3 linked regions of the Macaca fascicularis genome follow. The protein of the gene in region 3 binds, or shares a complex with, the protein of the main gene of each other region. Links are inferred from orthologs where the notes say so. Each region holds a gene or a part of one and is shown on either strand. Other genes may lie near its edges. The genes, in order: GNAI1, NMU and NMUR2.

The links.
Region 1: the proteins of NMUR2 (region 3) and GNAI1 are in contact, whole or in part, in a cryo-EM structure (PDB 7XK8), measured with the Homo sapiens proteins. The link is inferred for Macaca fascicularis from reciprocal best matches to the Homo sapiens genes NMUR2 and GNAI1. Residues at the interface, in NP_064552.3 of Homo sapiens: Thr78, Thr80, Glu143, Arg144, Ala147, Ile148, Pro151, Phe152, Ala154, Leu156, Met239, Leu243, Gln259, Cys262, Arg263, Val266, Leu330, Ser331, Arg333; in NP_002060.4 of Homo sapiens: Glu28, Ala31, Arg32, Leu194, Ile343, Ile344, Lys345, Asn347, Leu348, Lys349, Asp350, Cys351, Gly352, Leu353, Phe354.
Region 2: the proteins of NMUR2 (region 3) and NMU are in contact, whole or in part, in a cryo-EM structure (PDB 7XK8), measured with the Homo sapiens proteins. The link is inferred for Macaca fascicularis from reciprocal best matches to the Homo sapiens genes NMUR2 and NMU. Residues at the interface, in NP_064552.3 of Homo sapiens: Ser42, His43, Gly98, Glu102, Glu105, Met106, Trp107, Arg108, Asn109, Tyr110, Pro111, Thr123, Phe126, Glu127, Asn181, His185, Pro199, Ser201, Thr203, Cys204, Val206, Tyr213, Phe284, Arg288, Phe291, Glu295, Trp297, Ser298, Glu299, Ala302; in NP_006672.1 of Homo sapiens: Glu146, Phe152, Ala153, Ser154, Gln155, Gly158, Tyr159, Phe160, Leu161, Phe162, Arg163, Pro164, Arg165, Asn166.

What each region holds. Positions count from the first base shown.
Region 1 is NC_088377.1:141,289,691-141,293,705, forward strand, and holds the start of GNAI1 (guanine nucleotide-binding protein G(i) subunit alpha-1), read right to left. Parts: upstream 2,801-4,015; 5' UTR 2,491-2,800; coding exon 2,373-2,490; intron 1,926-2,372; exon of another isoform or gene 1,575-1,925; intron 1-1,574. UniProt on the Homo sapiens protein: Guanine nucleotide-binding proteins (G proteins) function as transducers downstream of G protein-coupled receptors (GPCRs) in numerous signaling cascades.
Region 2 is NC_088379.1:78,261,227-78,267,292, reverse strand, and holds the start of NMU (neuromedin-U), read right to left. Parts: upstream 3,672-6,066; 5' UTR 3,542-3,671; coding exon 3,433-3,541; intron 3,342-3,432; exon of another isoform or gene 2,960-3,341; intron 1-2,959.
Region 3 is NC_088380.1:159,246,432-159,252,398, reverse strand, and holds the start of NMUR2 (neuromedin-U receptor 2), read left to right. Parts: upstream 1-2,075; 5' UTR 2,076-2,228; coding exon 2,229-2,954; intron 2,955-5,967. UniProt on the Homo sapiens protein: Receptor for the neuromedin-U and neuromedin-S neuropeptides.

The sequences.
Region 1 (4,015 bases), on a different chromosome or scaffold from region 3:
AGATTGCTAAAAATCATTCTGAAGTATTTCTAATGGTGCTAGTACTGGTTTAACGAAATAAGAATTCTGGTCAGGCGAGGTGGCTCACGCCTGTAATCCCAGGACTTTGGGAGGCCGAGGCGGGCGGATCACCTGAGGTCAGGAGTTCGAGACAAGCCTGGCCAACATGGGGAAACCCGGTCTCTACTAAAAACACAAAATTAGCCAGGCATGGTGGCACGCACCCGTAGTTCCAGCTACTCCGGAGGCTGAGGCAGGAGAATGGCTCGAACCAGGAGGCGAAGGTTGCTGTGAGCCGAGATCGGGCCACTGCACTCCAGCCTGGGCGACAGAGCAAGACTCCGTCTCAAAAAAACAAACAAAAACAAAACAGAAATAAGAATTCCATAATTTCTTCTGAAAATAAGGCCTCTGCTACATCTCTCTCCAAACTCACTATGACTGTAAAGATTCACCTTCTGATTCTATATTATACATTCAATTATATTTAAGTGTTAATCTAGAACAGTGGTCCTTAACTAAGGCTGTATATTGCCCCCAGAGGACTTCTAGCAATATGTGGAAACGCTTTTGGAGCTCATAGGTTGGGGGACTGCTACTACCATCTAATGAGTGGAGGCCAAAGATGCTGCTGAACATCCTACAATGCACAAAAACAACCTGCACAACAAAGAATTTCCCGGCCCCAAATGCCAACCGTGCTAAGGTTAAGACACACTGATCTCTTCTGAACACAAGCAAAAGCCTCCTCCTGGGACCTTTATTCTAGTCCATCCCTAACAGTCACCTAATTAAAGGACAAAACACCACGACCAGATGATTCATTTCTCAATTGCTTTAAACATGGTGGATGGCTGGCTCAAACTAAGAGTCACACAAAAATACACTGAAACAACATATCACACCAGGAGAGCAAAAACTGCAAGAAAAAAACTTTTTAATCCTTTTATTTCATATCTATCTCACATTCAATTCACAAGAGAAGCAGATACACTAACCTCCTCAAAACACAGTATTTCTTAATAATGTAAAAACTTAGGCAACAGCATTAACTGAGAAAGACTTATGTTGGGGGCGAGAGGGTGAAAAAAGCCACGCAGGTCTTTAAAATGCAAAGTTATTTCACAGTTTACTTGCAAAATGACTCAGATCATTATTACTTTTAGTCATGCCAACTTTGCTGCTCCCAAGCCTACTAGTAATGTAGAAAAAAAAACCACCATTTTTTCTGCAGTCATTAAACCAATGAAACAGAAGCTTACTGAAAACAGGTTTGTGCAACATTTCTTTTTTATTATAACTGGTATAAAAATAAAAGCAGTCCTTGGAAATGCAAATGAAGATTCTGAGAAATTTTTCATCTAAATACCTAGAGTGTGAGAAGAAAACATGCAAACAAAAGAAAACCCTAACTCACAAATCTTAACCTGTGACTATTTTCCTACTGCTTCCCTCAATGAAAACCCTGGTTTACTCTTTTTTATTTTCTTCCCTGTCAAACATTTGGAAAAGACCTCCACGTAGCGTTTCACGAACAGAACAGTGCGAAGAACAAATAAAAGCCTTGCGTGTACCTGGCAAATCTCATTCATCAGAAACGGTGGCAGCGGAGGGAGAACCGTGTTGTCTGGCGTGACCCTCTCGCTCCTTTCACAGCAGTTTTCACCACTCGAGTCTTGCCTACTACTAAAGCAAAGCTTCCCAACCCCACTTGGGTGGCTTCCATGCCCCTACAGCAAGAAAAATCAAGCATCCAGCGCAGCCTTTCCCCAGCGCAGGCGGAATGTAATCGATGCTCCTTGACCACTTAAGGAGTCGCCATAGGAAGTTAACAGGAAAGACATTTCAGCCCCATCTCAGAGACCCCACAAAAGGTGCACTGATTTCACCAAACGTGGCACTCTGGGCATGAGAAAACCACAGTCGAAACACAACCCACACCTCACACGAAGAAGGGTTTTCCGGGAGGGGGCTGGGGACGGCGTGGGGGGGTGGTTATTTTCTAGCCACGAATGCCCCTTCGTCTTTGTAAGGCTGAGCTAAACTTCAAAGCAAAGGGTTTCCACAGGACCCGCCGCCTCGGACTCGCGCCTGGGCTCTTTGCTGGGTCGCCGAAGGCATCCGAGAGAAGTGACGCGCCCGCCCCACCACGGGGAGTCCTCGCCCGCCGGGGCGGAGGGAGGCCGGGCACCCGGAGAGGAGGACCCGCCTCGGCTGCGCACCGCCTGACCTAGCTCCCGCTCGGAAGCCTCCTCGGGCGCTTCCTCCCCTTCCCTCCGGGTTTCCAAATGCCGAGGGCCGCGCAGCGGTCACCGCGGAGCGCCGCGCCCGGTCCCCCGCCAACCCGGGGTCCCCGACCCGGCCGCCCTTACCAAGCAGCAGCAGCTTGACCTCGCGCGCCGCCTTCTCGCCGTCCTCGCGGAGGTTGCGGTCGATCATCTTACTCCGCTCCACCGCCGCCTTGTCCTCGGCGCTCAGCGTGCAGCCCATGTTGCCGAGAGCGAGAGCCTGCCGCCGCTCCCTCCGCGCCCGAGTGCGGGCTCCAAGCACAGGGGAATCCTTTCTCTCTCTGAGCGGGCGTTCGAACGCCTCCCGACGGGGGCCACGCCACCCCCACCACTTCCTAAGCGGAGTCGAGAGAGACGCCGTCCGCAGAGGGGCAGACAGCAACGCGCGGCTGTTCCTCACGGCCAGGCTCTGCTTCCCGGTGCGGCTCAGCGCCCCCAAGTCTCCGGTTTGGGGTTTTGAAGCTCTGGGTACAGTGGCTGCTGCCCTCCCGCCGGTGGCCGCGCCGCAGCCTTGCCAAGCCCAGCCGAGCTCGGCCTCCGCGCGCCGCCGCGGCCCCGCCCCTCCCGCCACCCCGCGACCACTCCCAGAGCGCGCGCCCGCGCACGTGCCCTTGGACAGCGCCCACTCGGAGGGGCGCGCGCGCCCCCCGGCTCCCTACCGCGGCGCCGCGACACCCCCGAGGGCCCGGCGCCCCCTGGCAGCGTCCCCGGAGCACAACACTGACCCGCGGGCCTGTGGCCTTCTGCCCTGGGCGGGAGTGGGGTAATTTCTTTCCGTTTACTCACACCGACGGAGCTGTGCGTACCTGCCCTTTCGGGTAGGGGTGGGAGAGCTGCCAAAGTTGCCGAAAAAAGCCAGTTCTGGGCGTTTGAGCATGCCCAGCGCCGGCAGCCACACAAGGCTTTTCAAAATGCAAATCCCTGTCGGCTGGCTTTCAGGGCCGTGGGAAACAGGGAGCTGGGGAAGGAATGGAGCCTGGTGAAACCAGAGATGGGCACAGTGGAGAACAGGAAAGTCGGGGGAGGAGACTAGGAAAGGGCAACAAGGTCAACTTTCTTCCTACCTTTTGCTTCTCTTTCCTTCTTCCTATCCCTCCCTCCTTCCTTCCATTCTCAGGTTTTTCACAAGAACTCATTTTGAAGGATTTCCTTGTAACCTAAAAAAATGGGAGACAAATAATCAAAAAGTACTTTTAAATGATAAGAGCAATAAAACACACCCACAACAAGCCAATCTCCACATCATAGCAGATCTCCTCTAGAGCAGCACATAAGCTTCCATGCCAAATTTTGAGCCAATATTTATTACCGTGTTTGTAACTCCTGTACCACTGGGCATGTCGTTTTTACAGGCCTTAGCTTCTTTCCCCATAAAATGAGGAGTGCATTTATGGGGCTATGGCCCCATCCTTCCAGCTGTAACTGATCCGCCCGAGATAAGTTCCTGTGGCCTGCAGGAGGCATTACTACTCAGCACCCAATGAATGAGCAGAGGCTTAAGATCTCATCTCTCCCTGTCAATTGCACTACACCTTTCCCCTACAGATATCACAGGAAGCGTTAACTGATTAGAAAATGGGACTGGTAGCAAGGAAAAACATCTTCCTTGATGTATTAAAAATTGGGAAATGCTCCCTGGTTTTCATCTGGAAATCTTATTATCTAAAAATCATTTGAGAAAACTGGGCTTGAGTTTTCCAAGGTGAGGCTGAACTGATGATACAAGC
Region 2 (6,066 bases), on a different chromosome or scaffold from region 3:
TCACTGTGTTCAGACACACCGCCTCATCAGGACCATGGAGAGTTTGCTTCCTTCCAATTCCCAAGCTCGCATGGGCCACTTAGAAAGGCCACTATGCCTAACTTAGCCCCAGGCACTTCCATAAAATAGAAAAAGGACATTTTGTGGCCCTTCTAAAAACATGTAAACACAGTTTCATGGTTAAAAAAAAAAGATAAGAAGAGACAAAAATTTTTTTAAAATTCTATGATTTGTAGAAAACGACTAATATCCTGGCCAGGCACAGTGGTTCACGCCTGTAATCCCAACACTTTGGGAGGACGAGACGGGCGGATCATGAGGTCCGAAGATCAAGACCATCCTGGCTAACACGATGAAACCCCATCTCCACTAAAAATACAAGAAAATTAGCCGGGCATGGTGGCAGGCACCTGTAGTTACAGCTATTCGGGAGGCTGAGGCTGGAGAATGGGGTGAACCCAAGAGGCGGAGCTTGCAGTGAGCCCAGATGAGGCCACTGCACTCCAGCCTGGGCGACAGAGCGAGACTCCGTCTCACGAAAAGAAAAAGACTGACGACTAATATCCTATGACTGAACCCAAACGTAAGGGGGAGTTATTCTTTCCTTTGTCTATGTGTTAATTAGAGTCAATGTGATTTTCATTCTGGATATGGACTTCACACTGTCAAAGAGCAATACTGTACTTAGATCACTTTCCGTGTTTTCAGAGACAGTGCCTGTATCATAACTGTACTGTTTTTGATAAGTTTCAGTGAGAAACTTCAAGATATTTATACTTCATTACTATTTAGCAAAGTGAAATCTTCAGTATTATACAGTATACTCTGCTGAAAATAAAAACTTGTACATCCGTAAATACATTATGTATAAGAAAGACAGACCTGATTATTCTAAAAGTAGTGCCAATTTTCTTTTCTCATGGCGAGTATGTACTTCACTGTGGGTTTGGGAAGTGAGAAATCTTTACTGTCAAGTGAACGTTAAGAATTATTCTATGAGCAAGAGGCCTGGGCAGGAAAAGACACTCCTTAACTTAGTCTTGACCATTTGATAACTTATTGTCACAGGCAAAATCAAGTAACAGTTTGTTGCAGATATCCAAAATGTGTTCCTCTTATATAAGTTTCCTTCTTTATTTTACTAGTGTGCTCTGAATAGTAAATTGTTTCCATCCACTGAATCTGTGGCTGACCCTTTATCTTCGCATGACCCTTTATCTTTTTTTATTTTACTAGTGTGTTTATTTTCCTTCTTTATTTTACTAGTGTGCTCTGAATAGTAAATTGTTTCCATCCACTGAATCTGTGGCTGACCCTTTATCTTTTTTTTTCCAAGGATGCTGCATTTAATGACACTTTTATTTTCCTCTAGCATTGCAACATTTGTTGTGTTGTTTTTTGAGGCATCCAGTTGCATCTTGCATGATGATTGACCATGGTAGATAATCTCTGGGTTTTGCTTATGTATGTCACGTCCCCCTCGGTGCCATCTTTAGGGACTCAGGACTCGGACAGATCACATGGCTATTCACCCTCTCCCCATCCTACCACATTTTTAAAGAGATACAATTCACTTTTTAGTATTCATAGCAGGTCTGAAGGGGAATGAAGATGCAAAAGGGCAATCTAGGGGGCTTCTGGGTAGTAAAGGAAGTATCTCATTCTTTTGCTTGAAAAATATTGGGGTTATCTACGAGACGATTGGTATGTCAGCAGATATGCTCTTTTGGAAATAAAAACCAAGACTCATCTCTTTTAGGAACCAGCTGCTGCTTTCTATACTGTTCAATCACCAGCAGTCTGAAATTCTCCAACCCATCCCAAGGCAGTTATCTCTGATGCAAATTTCTCTGCATGCAAAATTCACTGATGCCAAATTCACTGCAAGCATATAGCATGCAAATGCATAGAAATCCATTTTCTTTACATAGCAAAGTCACTTTTCAAACTATGCTTATCTGCATCCTTAAGAAGGCAGATAAAGATTACCATCCAAAGTTACCAATAATATATTTAAAATCCTAAAAGATGAACATTTACCTTGGGAGAAAGTAATGTATCACTACTGGCTATGTGGAGAACGTTTGGGTTTGCTAGCTTCTGACTGCCTGGATTTCAAAGCCAAATTATCTTGCTTTTCAAGTAGGGGAGTCTCTCTCTCTCTCTCTCTCTCTCTCTCTCTCTCTCTCTCACACACACACACACACACACACACACACACACACACACACGCACCCCTCCAATGCCTCAGGAAAGGACAAAATCAAAACAATGAGAGGAGAACAGTAAAAATAAATAGATTAGGAAAAGCATAGCGGTCTCTATTTCCCCATCTCTAATTGAGGGCTGGACTACAGGCTCTGCAGTTGTGATTTTAAGTACCCAACGTTCTGAACAATGACACAACAGTCTGCCACTTTTACCTCACTGACTGGAGAGCAGAGGGAAGCTAAGAGAACCTCCTGCCAAGCTAGAAAATTTATGGATGTAGCCAGGCAGTGGTTGACAATGGAGGGACCCCTGACTTGGGGATGAATAATGGTGCCCATAAGCCACCTGCAAACGTAAGCTGTAACCCTTGGAGAACCCAGAAAATGATCTCTCCATGCAAATCTCTCCAGAACGTTTGCATTCTGCTCGGCTATGTCTCCAAAGCTTCCGATCTCCTTCCCTGACCTTGCGTTTCCTATTTCTTTCCTCTAAGCCAAGCTCAGGAAGTCCCTATTGTTATCAAATCACATCTGCCATCACTTGCTGTAGCTGTCGCACTGCCTGAAAGCCTGGCTTGCACATTTGCCTCTTCAACTTTGTGTGATGAGAAGTTCTCTATTCCTTTTCCTGATCTAGTGCCTGAAAACCGATAAAACACAAAGCCCACTCCTTCCCCCTTCTAAGCGGTTAGCGCGTGGGGCCCGTTGTACCGCTCAGGTTTATGTCAACATAACACGAGCTCACTCACCAAACAGGCTGAGCACTCGCCAAGTTTACCTTGCCTCAGCGGACGAAGTATCAGGCTCACTCTTGTTTTGCTTCGACCATCAATCCCTTCAATAATTGCAATCAAAGGGAAGGCATTTTAACGTTCACTATTTTAATACCCGTTTCCACGGGCCAGCGGGGCTGGAAATCCCGAGGATGAGGGAGCCCTACCAGTCTCCACCTATCGCAGTCGGCCCAGCGCAGGGTCTCCGCTGGGCATCAACGCGCGGGGCCTGGGGATTTCGGCCCCGGCCGGGCCCCTTGCTCCTATGTTGCTAGTTGCTCTAGTGGGGCGATCTGTGCCTGGGAGGCGGGAAATCCCGCGGCACCAGAGAAGCCAAGAGAAGTCCCAGAAACCAAGTGAAGGTGAAAGAAAGGGCGGGAGAGAGTGGTGAGTGGAGCCAGAGAGAGGCGCGCATGGTGTGGCGGCGGCCGGGTGCGGGGCCGTCTTACCTCTGCAGGCGCCCGCGCAGCAGGCGAGCAGCAGCAGCAGCAGGAGCGTGGACGCCGCGGCCCCCTGTCCGGGGGGCGACCTTGGGGGGCAGCTCGCTGTTCGCAGCATCTCGGCGGCTGCGGGAGGCTCGCTGCTAGGGACCCTGCGCTGCGCCACGCCGAGCTGGTGCTCCACCTGGTGCCCTGGCAGTGCCTCCAGCGGCCCTGGAGCGCCGCTCGCGGGGCCCACACACAGAACTGAGCGCCCGACGCGCCGACAACTTTTAAATCTCGCGCACACGTGGGCTGGGCTGCGCAGTCCCCGCCGCACGTCACCTCGCCGCCTGCCACCCCCGGCCTACCCCGCGTCACCCGCCCCACTGCCTGCCCGCGCCCCACCCTGCAGGGGGACCCGAGCCCTCTGGCCTGAGTTTCTGACCCAAGTACTACGCATTTTCGCTCTGGGATAAAGAGAATGGACTTTAAATAATGCACCATTCACACCTTTGGAAGGACTGGAGTGGGAACACAATGGAGATGGCAAACCAGGCCGTCTGAGTTTTTAAACTTGGTAGTGGCGACGCTGTCTGGTTTCCTGGGTCTGCGTGGGACGCGCTTTCTCCTTCACCTCTGCTAGAGCTCCGGCAGCCCCTAGTACGCACCTCTGTGGAAGCGCCTCTGTTTTGTTCCCCGGTTTATCCCCAGGTCCAAGCTCAATGCCTGGTGCATATCAGGGCAGTGCTGGTTCAACGGTGATGTTGATGCTATCTACCCTCCCCCAAATTCCTGCAAAATCACAGACCCCTTAGGGAAATGCAGTTGCCTGTTAATAAAAGATAAAGAAGAAAGGACTGCTGGGGCTTGACCACACACATTTCTAACAGCTCTGGAGCGCTGGTTATCCTACGGATTTCCAAGCCTAAGGAAACTCCTTTTTCTATGCATTTCTGCTGCTATTGCATCCTGATTTCTACCGTGACCTGACTCCCTCTTTCCATCTCTATACTTTCCTTGATTGGAAACGTTCAGGAAGCAGCCTCTTCCAGGACACCAGCTAATACAGTCCTAATTTCCTTCTACAGAAAGAGGGAAACCTCGTCTTTATTATTATTATTTCAAGTTCCGGGGTACATGCGCAGGATGTGCCGGTTTGTCCCATAGCTAAACGTGTTCCATAGTGGTTTGCTGTACCTATCAACCTATCACCTAGGAATTAAGCCCAGAATGCATTAGCTATTTTTCCTGATGCTCCCCCTGTCCCCGCACCCCACCCCCCCCCCATAGGTCCCAGTGTGTGAAAACCGGTCTTATTTGACCTCCCTTTGAAAGGCGAGGAACGCCGAGGAAAGGGCAGGAAGTACATTAACATTTCTGAAGGGGCACTTTTGCGTCAGGCATTTTCTCGTGTTATTTTATTTAATATTCATGGCATCTCTGGGATGTAGAAGTACTGAAATTCTCATTTATGATGCCAAGAGGGATTAAACAATCTGCTCAGGGCTGTCAGCACGTGAGGCAGCCACTGGCTATTCTACTCCACCAAGATACTTCTCCCTAAATACAGAGTTTTAATGTATTAGGCACACACAGCTCAACCTACTGTAAGCAAGACCTGACCTTTGGGGATACAAGATTTAGTGACAGTAGGATCTTTCTCTCCTAAGGAAGTTATAACTTGGTAAAGGACCCTAAACCCTTACTCAAATAGCTGAATTACAAGGCAGATTGGGATAGTGCTCTGTCAGAAATACGAAGAGAGGCAGGAGTAAAACCCTGACAGATTAGGTAAAAAAATAATGGCCACCTTCTTTAAATTCTTTATACACAGGAAGCGTGTAAGAAAGGCTGGATTATAGGGTCTGGTCCAAGTTCAGGGATGGGTGAGAAAATATTTGATTCAAGATTCTTGTACTTTGATTTATTCCCAAAGTAGTAAAAAAAGAAAAAAAAGAGCACAAAGGATGTAAATGACCTACGGATGCAAGCAGGTGAACATGGCTCTGCTTCCCTATGACATTCTTCCTGGTGTCTCCCAGAGGTGCACTGAAAGATCACCAGTCCCAGCAGCCAGTGTGAGCGTGAAATGTCAGCCAGAGCAGAGAAGCCTGAAACAGTGGGCTTAATGTTTTTTATATCCCCAACAAGTCAGCAAAATAAACAACTTGTGTATTAAAGTTTTTTTTTTTTTTTCCTTGCATGAACCAGCCTGCTTAGAACGTTCTTGTACATGCCCCCTAGTGTACACGTGCAAGAGTTTTCTGAGGAATGTTCCCAGGAGTGGAGTCATTAGGTCATAGGGGATGACCTAGCTAATCTCTGTTTTACACTGTTTTCCAAAGTGTTATACCAATTTACATTCCCACCAACCATGAATGACGTTTCCATGGCTATTCATTCATGCAGAAACCTTTGTCAATATGGTGAGTGTGACTTCTTTCCTTTTTTTTTTTTTTCCTTCTTGTTTTTTGAGATGGAGTCTCACTCTGTTACCCAGGCTGGAGTGCAGTGGCACGATCTTGGCTCACTCCAACCTCTCCCTCCCAGTTCAAGGGATCCTCGTGTCTCAGTCTCCTAGTTGGGACTACAGGTGTGCACCACCACACCCGGCTAATTTTTGTATTTTTAGTAAAGATGAAGTTTCACCACATTGGCCAG
Region 3 (5,967 bases):
AAAGAAGTATTTTCCATTTTCCTCAGTGCTAAGTTTATAGTCTGCCACTGTGCACCCTTATAAATTTAATGATCCTTATATCTAAATGAGACATTTTCATTAAACTTTTCCTATTTCATTAGAAAAATATGTTAAAGTGTGTTAATAGTGATTTTAACATCAAAACTTGCCTTTAACTAGAGGGCTCTAATTCTGGCTCTGCAATACCTATTACATGTCTATAATTACTATTAATGTTATTCACCAATTTTTCCTAGTTTTCCATCTTCTGTGCACATGCTAAGACAGCACTTCCTGACCCTGCTGTGGTTGAATGGGTACATATGATTAACTTTGGTCAATGAGCTGTGAGTAAAAGTGGCAATGAGTTACTTACTTTTGGGCTAGAGCCTATAATTACCTACTTAAGACCATCTAGAGCTCTCTTTTCCTCTATCACAATGATAATCAAAATTCCAGAGCGTGACCACTGCATCAGCCTGGGTTTATGAGTGAGTATAGCATGAGACAGACCCTCAATACATTTGAAGTGCAAGAGAAATAAATCTTTATTATTTAAACCAAGATATGTCAATCATTCGTTACAGAAGCATAAACTATCTTAACTTGAAGGACAGCTTATTCTTCAACAAGTCACTTTTCCTCTCTAATTTTTAATGTCATCATTTGATTTAACAAATAAAAGGGAAAAAATTAACATTTAGCGAATATCTCTAAAGTATAAGTTGCTTCGTTATATATAATTTAATTTAGTCTTCTCAATGACTATAAAAGGTATTGTCCCCTGCAAAAATATTCCTAAATCCAAAGAAATCTCTCAACTCCACTACTCAAAGAATCCAAGCCACTACTATGTCTTAGGACTAGCCTCTTACCTACCTTCTGTTAAAATTTCTCCCTCATTAATTCTCCAGTGCAAAATATTTTAAAGACTTCTCCCTGCAGTTTGAATCAGAGGCAAACTCTCTTCCACGGCCTATAAGAGTTTACATGAACTTGCACCTGCCAGCCACTCCAATCTAATCATTCATACTTTGCTGACCACTTATTAAATTCCAGTTATTCTGGTCTTCCTGATATTTTTAAAACATATCAAGCTTGTTTCTGCCTCAGGACCTTTGCACTTGCAATTGCTTTTGCTGAGTAATACACTTCCCTTAGCTCTTTCATGACTGACTCAGCTAAAGCGACATCTGAGATAAGTTTTCTTTCACCATCCTTGATAAATAATGATTTATCAATTACTATCTGAAATTATATTAATTTATTCATTTACTTGTGTGTTTTCAGAATTCCCTACTGTAAGAAAAGCTCCACTAGGGCAGAGACCTTGTCTTGCTTGTACACTGATGTTTCTACAAAGCTTAGAATATTCCCTGGCAAATAGTGAATCCTCAAGAAGTTATTTGTGGAACACAATCGAATCAATGATGCAGATAAGGAAATGAGCCTTTAAGAGTTTGGGTAACTGTCCAACTTTCCTAAATTTCTATGAGTGCTCCTAATTCTGAAGTCCGTTTGCCTTTTGCTTACAGCAAAGCTCTGCTAAGAGACTGAAGTGTCAGGTAGCAGTCAGAGCTAGGCACTGTGCACGTGCCCTTTCAGGCTTTGGTTTTGGATGCAGTCAAAACCAAAAACTCTCGTTAATCATGTTATCACATTAATCCCCAGAGAACCCTGAATTTCCAGTGGAACAAGATAACTTGAGAAATCTATTGATTTCCTGTGTTCATCCTGCTGTACGGCTGACAAGGATTGGTGGAGACTGGTAATCTTTTGCCCACGACCCTACGACTTTGATTTCTATGTCCGCCCAGATTCTCACAACTTTGCAACATGCATTGCTCAAAATGCCCATCCATGAAGTCAGAGTGGTTTCTTCTGTGTCAGCTCTGCCTTCCCAGCTCCTTCCCACTCAGAGAGAGGTCTCCGCCTCCTCCCCTGTTCCCTGACACAAAGCCAGCACTCCTCTCTTCCGGTGCAGCCTGACACACTCTCATTGGCCCTCAGCCTGTGAAGGGGAGGGGCTTGTGTCTTTGGGACTCTTCAAAAGGGATCGGCGGTCCAGGCAGCCTACCTTTGAGGCTGAAACATTCACTCTCTCCCAGCCTTCCTCACTAAGCCTGTGATTTTCCTGACTGCTTTCTCTCTCTCTCTCTCTTTTTTTTTTTTTCCTGGCTCAGCTTGAAACAGCCTCGTACCAGGGGAGGCTCAGGCCTTGGATTTTAATGTCAGGGATGGAAAAACTTCAGAATGCTTCCTGGATCTACCAGCAGAAACTGGAAGATCCATTCCAGAAACACCTGAACAGCACCGAGGAGTATCTGGCCTTCCTCTGCGGACCTCGGCGCAGCCACTTCTTCCTCCCCGTGTCTGTGGTGTATGTGCCAATTTTTGTGGTGGGGGTCATTGGCAATGTCCTGGTGTGCCTGGTGATTGTGCAGCACCAGGCTATGAAGACGCCCACCAACTACTACCTCTTCAGCCTGGCGGTCTCTGACCTCCTGGTCCTGCTCCTTGGAATGCCCCTGGAGGTCTATGAGATGTGGCGCAACTACCCCTTCTTGTTCGGGCCTGTGGGATGCTACTTCAAGACGGCCCTCTTTGAAACCGTGTGCTTCGCCTCCATCCTCAGCATCACCGCCATCAGCGTGGAGCGCTACGTGGCCATCCTACACCCGTTCCGCGCCAAGTTGGAGAGCACCCGGCGCCGGGCTCTCAGGATCCTCGGCGTCGTCTGGGGCTTCTCCGTGCTCTTCTCCCTGCCCAACACCAGCATCCACGGCATCAAGTTCCACTACTTCCCCAATGGGTCCCTGGTCCCAGGTTCGGCCACCTGTACGGTCATCAAGCCCATGTGGATCTACAATTTCATCATCCAGGTCACCTCCTTCCTATTCTACTTCCTCCCCATGACTGTCATCAGTGTCCTCTACTACCTCATGGCACTCAGAGTGAGTATCTAGGCTAGCTGGCTTAAGGCAGCATCCCTTCTGTTTTCACAGGCTCAAAGTTCAGAGAAAAACTTAGAATTGGGGAAATTCAGAAATGGAAGGGAACAGAGGGAAAATAGAATGAGCTCAGATGGGAAATCAAGGCATTAAAGAAATTGCCTCAAATGAGATGAATGGTAACCACCACTATTTATCATTTCCTTCAGCTCGTCTTCTCATATCTAAATAAGATATGGGTTCTCATATCTAAATGTTCCTAAGAACCATCCAGAAAACTTACTTTGGGTAGCAATATGGATACCTCACCCCCAGGAAAATGGGATTCAGTAGGTCTGAGGTGGAGCCTCATTGTAAAAAAGCACATCAGGCGATCTGGGGTGAGGTGGCCACAGCTTGAGAGACTCCTCCGCATCCTGTTATCACTTTCCAGCCCCCGGCCACTGCCTGCGTTGAGATTTTCCTCTACACCAAGTTGGTCTGAGTATAACACAAACTATCAACTATCCCTGACTATTTTATAGTCCCAGATAGGTATTCAGTTTTAAAATCAGACCTTTCCTGTGGCTGCTCTGACCCTTTCATTAAAATGAGGTTGAAACAAAACAAAATAAAACTATATATATATATTTATTTATTTATTTATAGTTATATATAATATATATATAGTCATATATATTAATGACATGACTGAGATAACTTGAGCTTCTTTTGAGCACGTGCAGACTGAGAGATAAGGAAGTAACCAGCACATGAGATAGAGTAAAAAAAATGTGAATAAGAGTTATCTGAAATTAAGAAAAAGATATCACTTATTTTGCAACATATATAATTAGAGGTTCTTTTCCTATGTTTATGGTGATAAACTGATTTCTTTTTCAGAAGGGGGTGTAATAAATTAACTGAGAGAAACTGTTTTTAATAAGGGTAGGAATGAGGCTATGTAATTCCTCTCTGGTATATTCTGCACCCAAATTCATGAAGAGAAAAGTTTTTGACAATGACAATTTTACACCCACTTAAGGGAGGTATTATAGCTTGTGTAGTAAACAGTTATGAGACCATTTAGACTCCCAGATCTACAGCAGACACATAAAATGCCTTTAGGCAAGCCACATGATTCTCCTAGAATTAGTTTTCCCATTTATAAAATGAAAAGGTTACATCAGATCATATCTATGTACCCTCTAGTTCTAACAGTCTATGATTCCTTTTAAAAAAGAAAAAAAAAAAAACAACCTGTGAGGTGAAGCAATGTGAGTTTTAAATGAGAGGACAAGCAGACATCACACTCACATTATTTGCTTTGAGATGGCTCTGACATCATATGTTATATGACAACGAATATACTCCTATTTCAGTCCATCTCTGAGAAGCTGATTGTCAGAAGCGAGTGACCAATGGTAGTCTTTTTGAATACCTATTGTCCCTAAGGTGAATAGCAAGGTCTAAGTAGGAAGAACAAATTCTAAGTGTCACAGACATCTGGGCACAAGAGTAAATCTACTTAGGCAGATAGCTGTGCCAGTCCCCTCCTGGAGGGCTAGCACCTATATTCCCGGAGACATGTACCACCCCGCACTAGCTCACAGCCATGTCTTAAGAATGTCCTGCAATTCTCACTCAAGCGAAAAGACTTCTATACAACTCCAAAGAAAGTCCTATGAGAAACACCCACCCAGAACTTAGTAATATCTCATCTAATACCAAAGAATCACCTATTTTGGGTCAATTTGGGAAAAATATTTAACTTTGAGTAGGAAATGCACATTTCCTCTTCCAATCTGTTACAATCAGTTTCATTGTGTTTTATTATCAAAAGTCCATAGCTACCTTGTATCAAGAGCTAAGTGATAGCTCAAACAGAAGTTTAAAAACCACCCTGGTTTGCTTTGGGTATGTAATGCAACTTTTGATAGCCTGTTTTCAGGAAGGATGAGCTGTTATCCAGGGTACCAGAGGACACCAGGAAAGAAACTAACTGCTTAAAAGTCACTCCTAGAAGAATTTAAAAATCTCTATACTGAAAATCAGGAAAAGTAGACCCTATTCTGTGTCACTGACCTGAGGACCTTTATGTACAATATACCTGTAGCCTGAAATGTTCCTACTGTCTGCCACCACTACCCTTTTGCCTTTCTAACCCTCATTTATTCTTTATGTCATACTTCAATCACACTTCCTCAGGGAAGCTCTCCCAGATTTCCTGAGCATTCCTGTTTCCTGTTGTAGGTGCTCACGACTCAGTGATTTTCCTTCATTACAATTTACAATTCCATACTTATGGATTCCTTAATTAATTTTTTTCTCCCCAACTAGACTGTAAGCTCAGTGAATGAATGAGGCTAAATTACTTCCTTCGTTGCTGGGCTTTAGCTTCTCTACCTTTAAAACAAAGACTTGTAAATATTATCTCAAAGAGATATAAGCAATCCTAATGATTGTTAAGTAATTGACTCTGTTGGAAAGTTTGAAGGTGTGATTGACTCTGGGACCCACTGCTTTCAGAAGGCAGCAAGTCTAAGACTAATGAAATCAGAGGACCAGGGAAGAAGGAGGAAACCCGTATCTGTGCTCATAGCTCAGCATTCAGTCACACTGCATCATTCCAGGACACAGCCACCACTGAGCTGCTCTCCAGGATTTGAACATTATATAGATAGAAAATAGACAATTCTAGGGCAAGTTCCTCCACATCTGGGAGGAAGTTCTAGTGACAGTCTGATTTCGTTCTTACATCTCCTGCATGCTGCATTCATGATTGAGCTAATGAGGATGGATGTATGAATTGCAGCAGAATTCAACCATGCCAACACAGGGTTGCACTGATTTTTTTTTTTTAATAAATAGATTGTGTTAAGATTATAGAGATATTTACACAAAACCTATAATCTTTGTATTCTGAAACTAAGTCCCACAAACTATATAAATGAACATCTGGTGGAGTGATTTCAAGCAGTATAAACAACTGATCAGCATAATGTATCAACCTGAATAATAACCTCACGAACCTCCC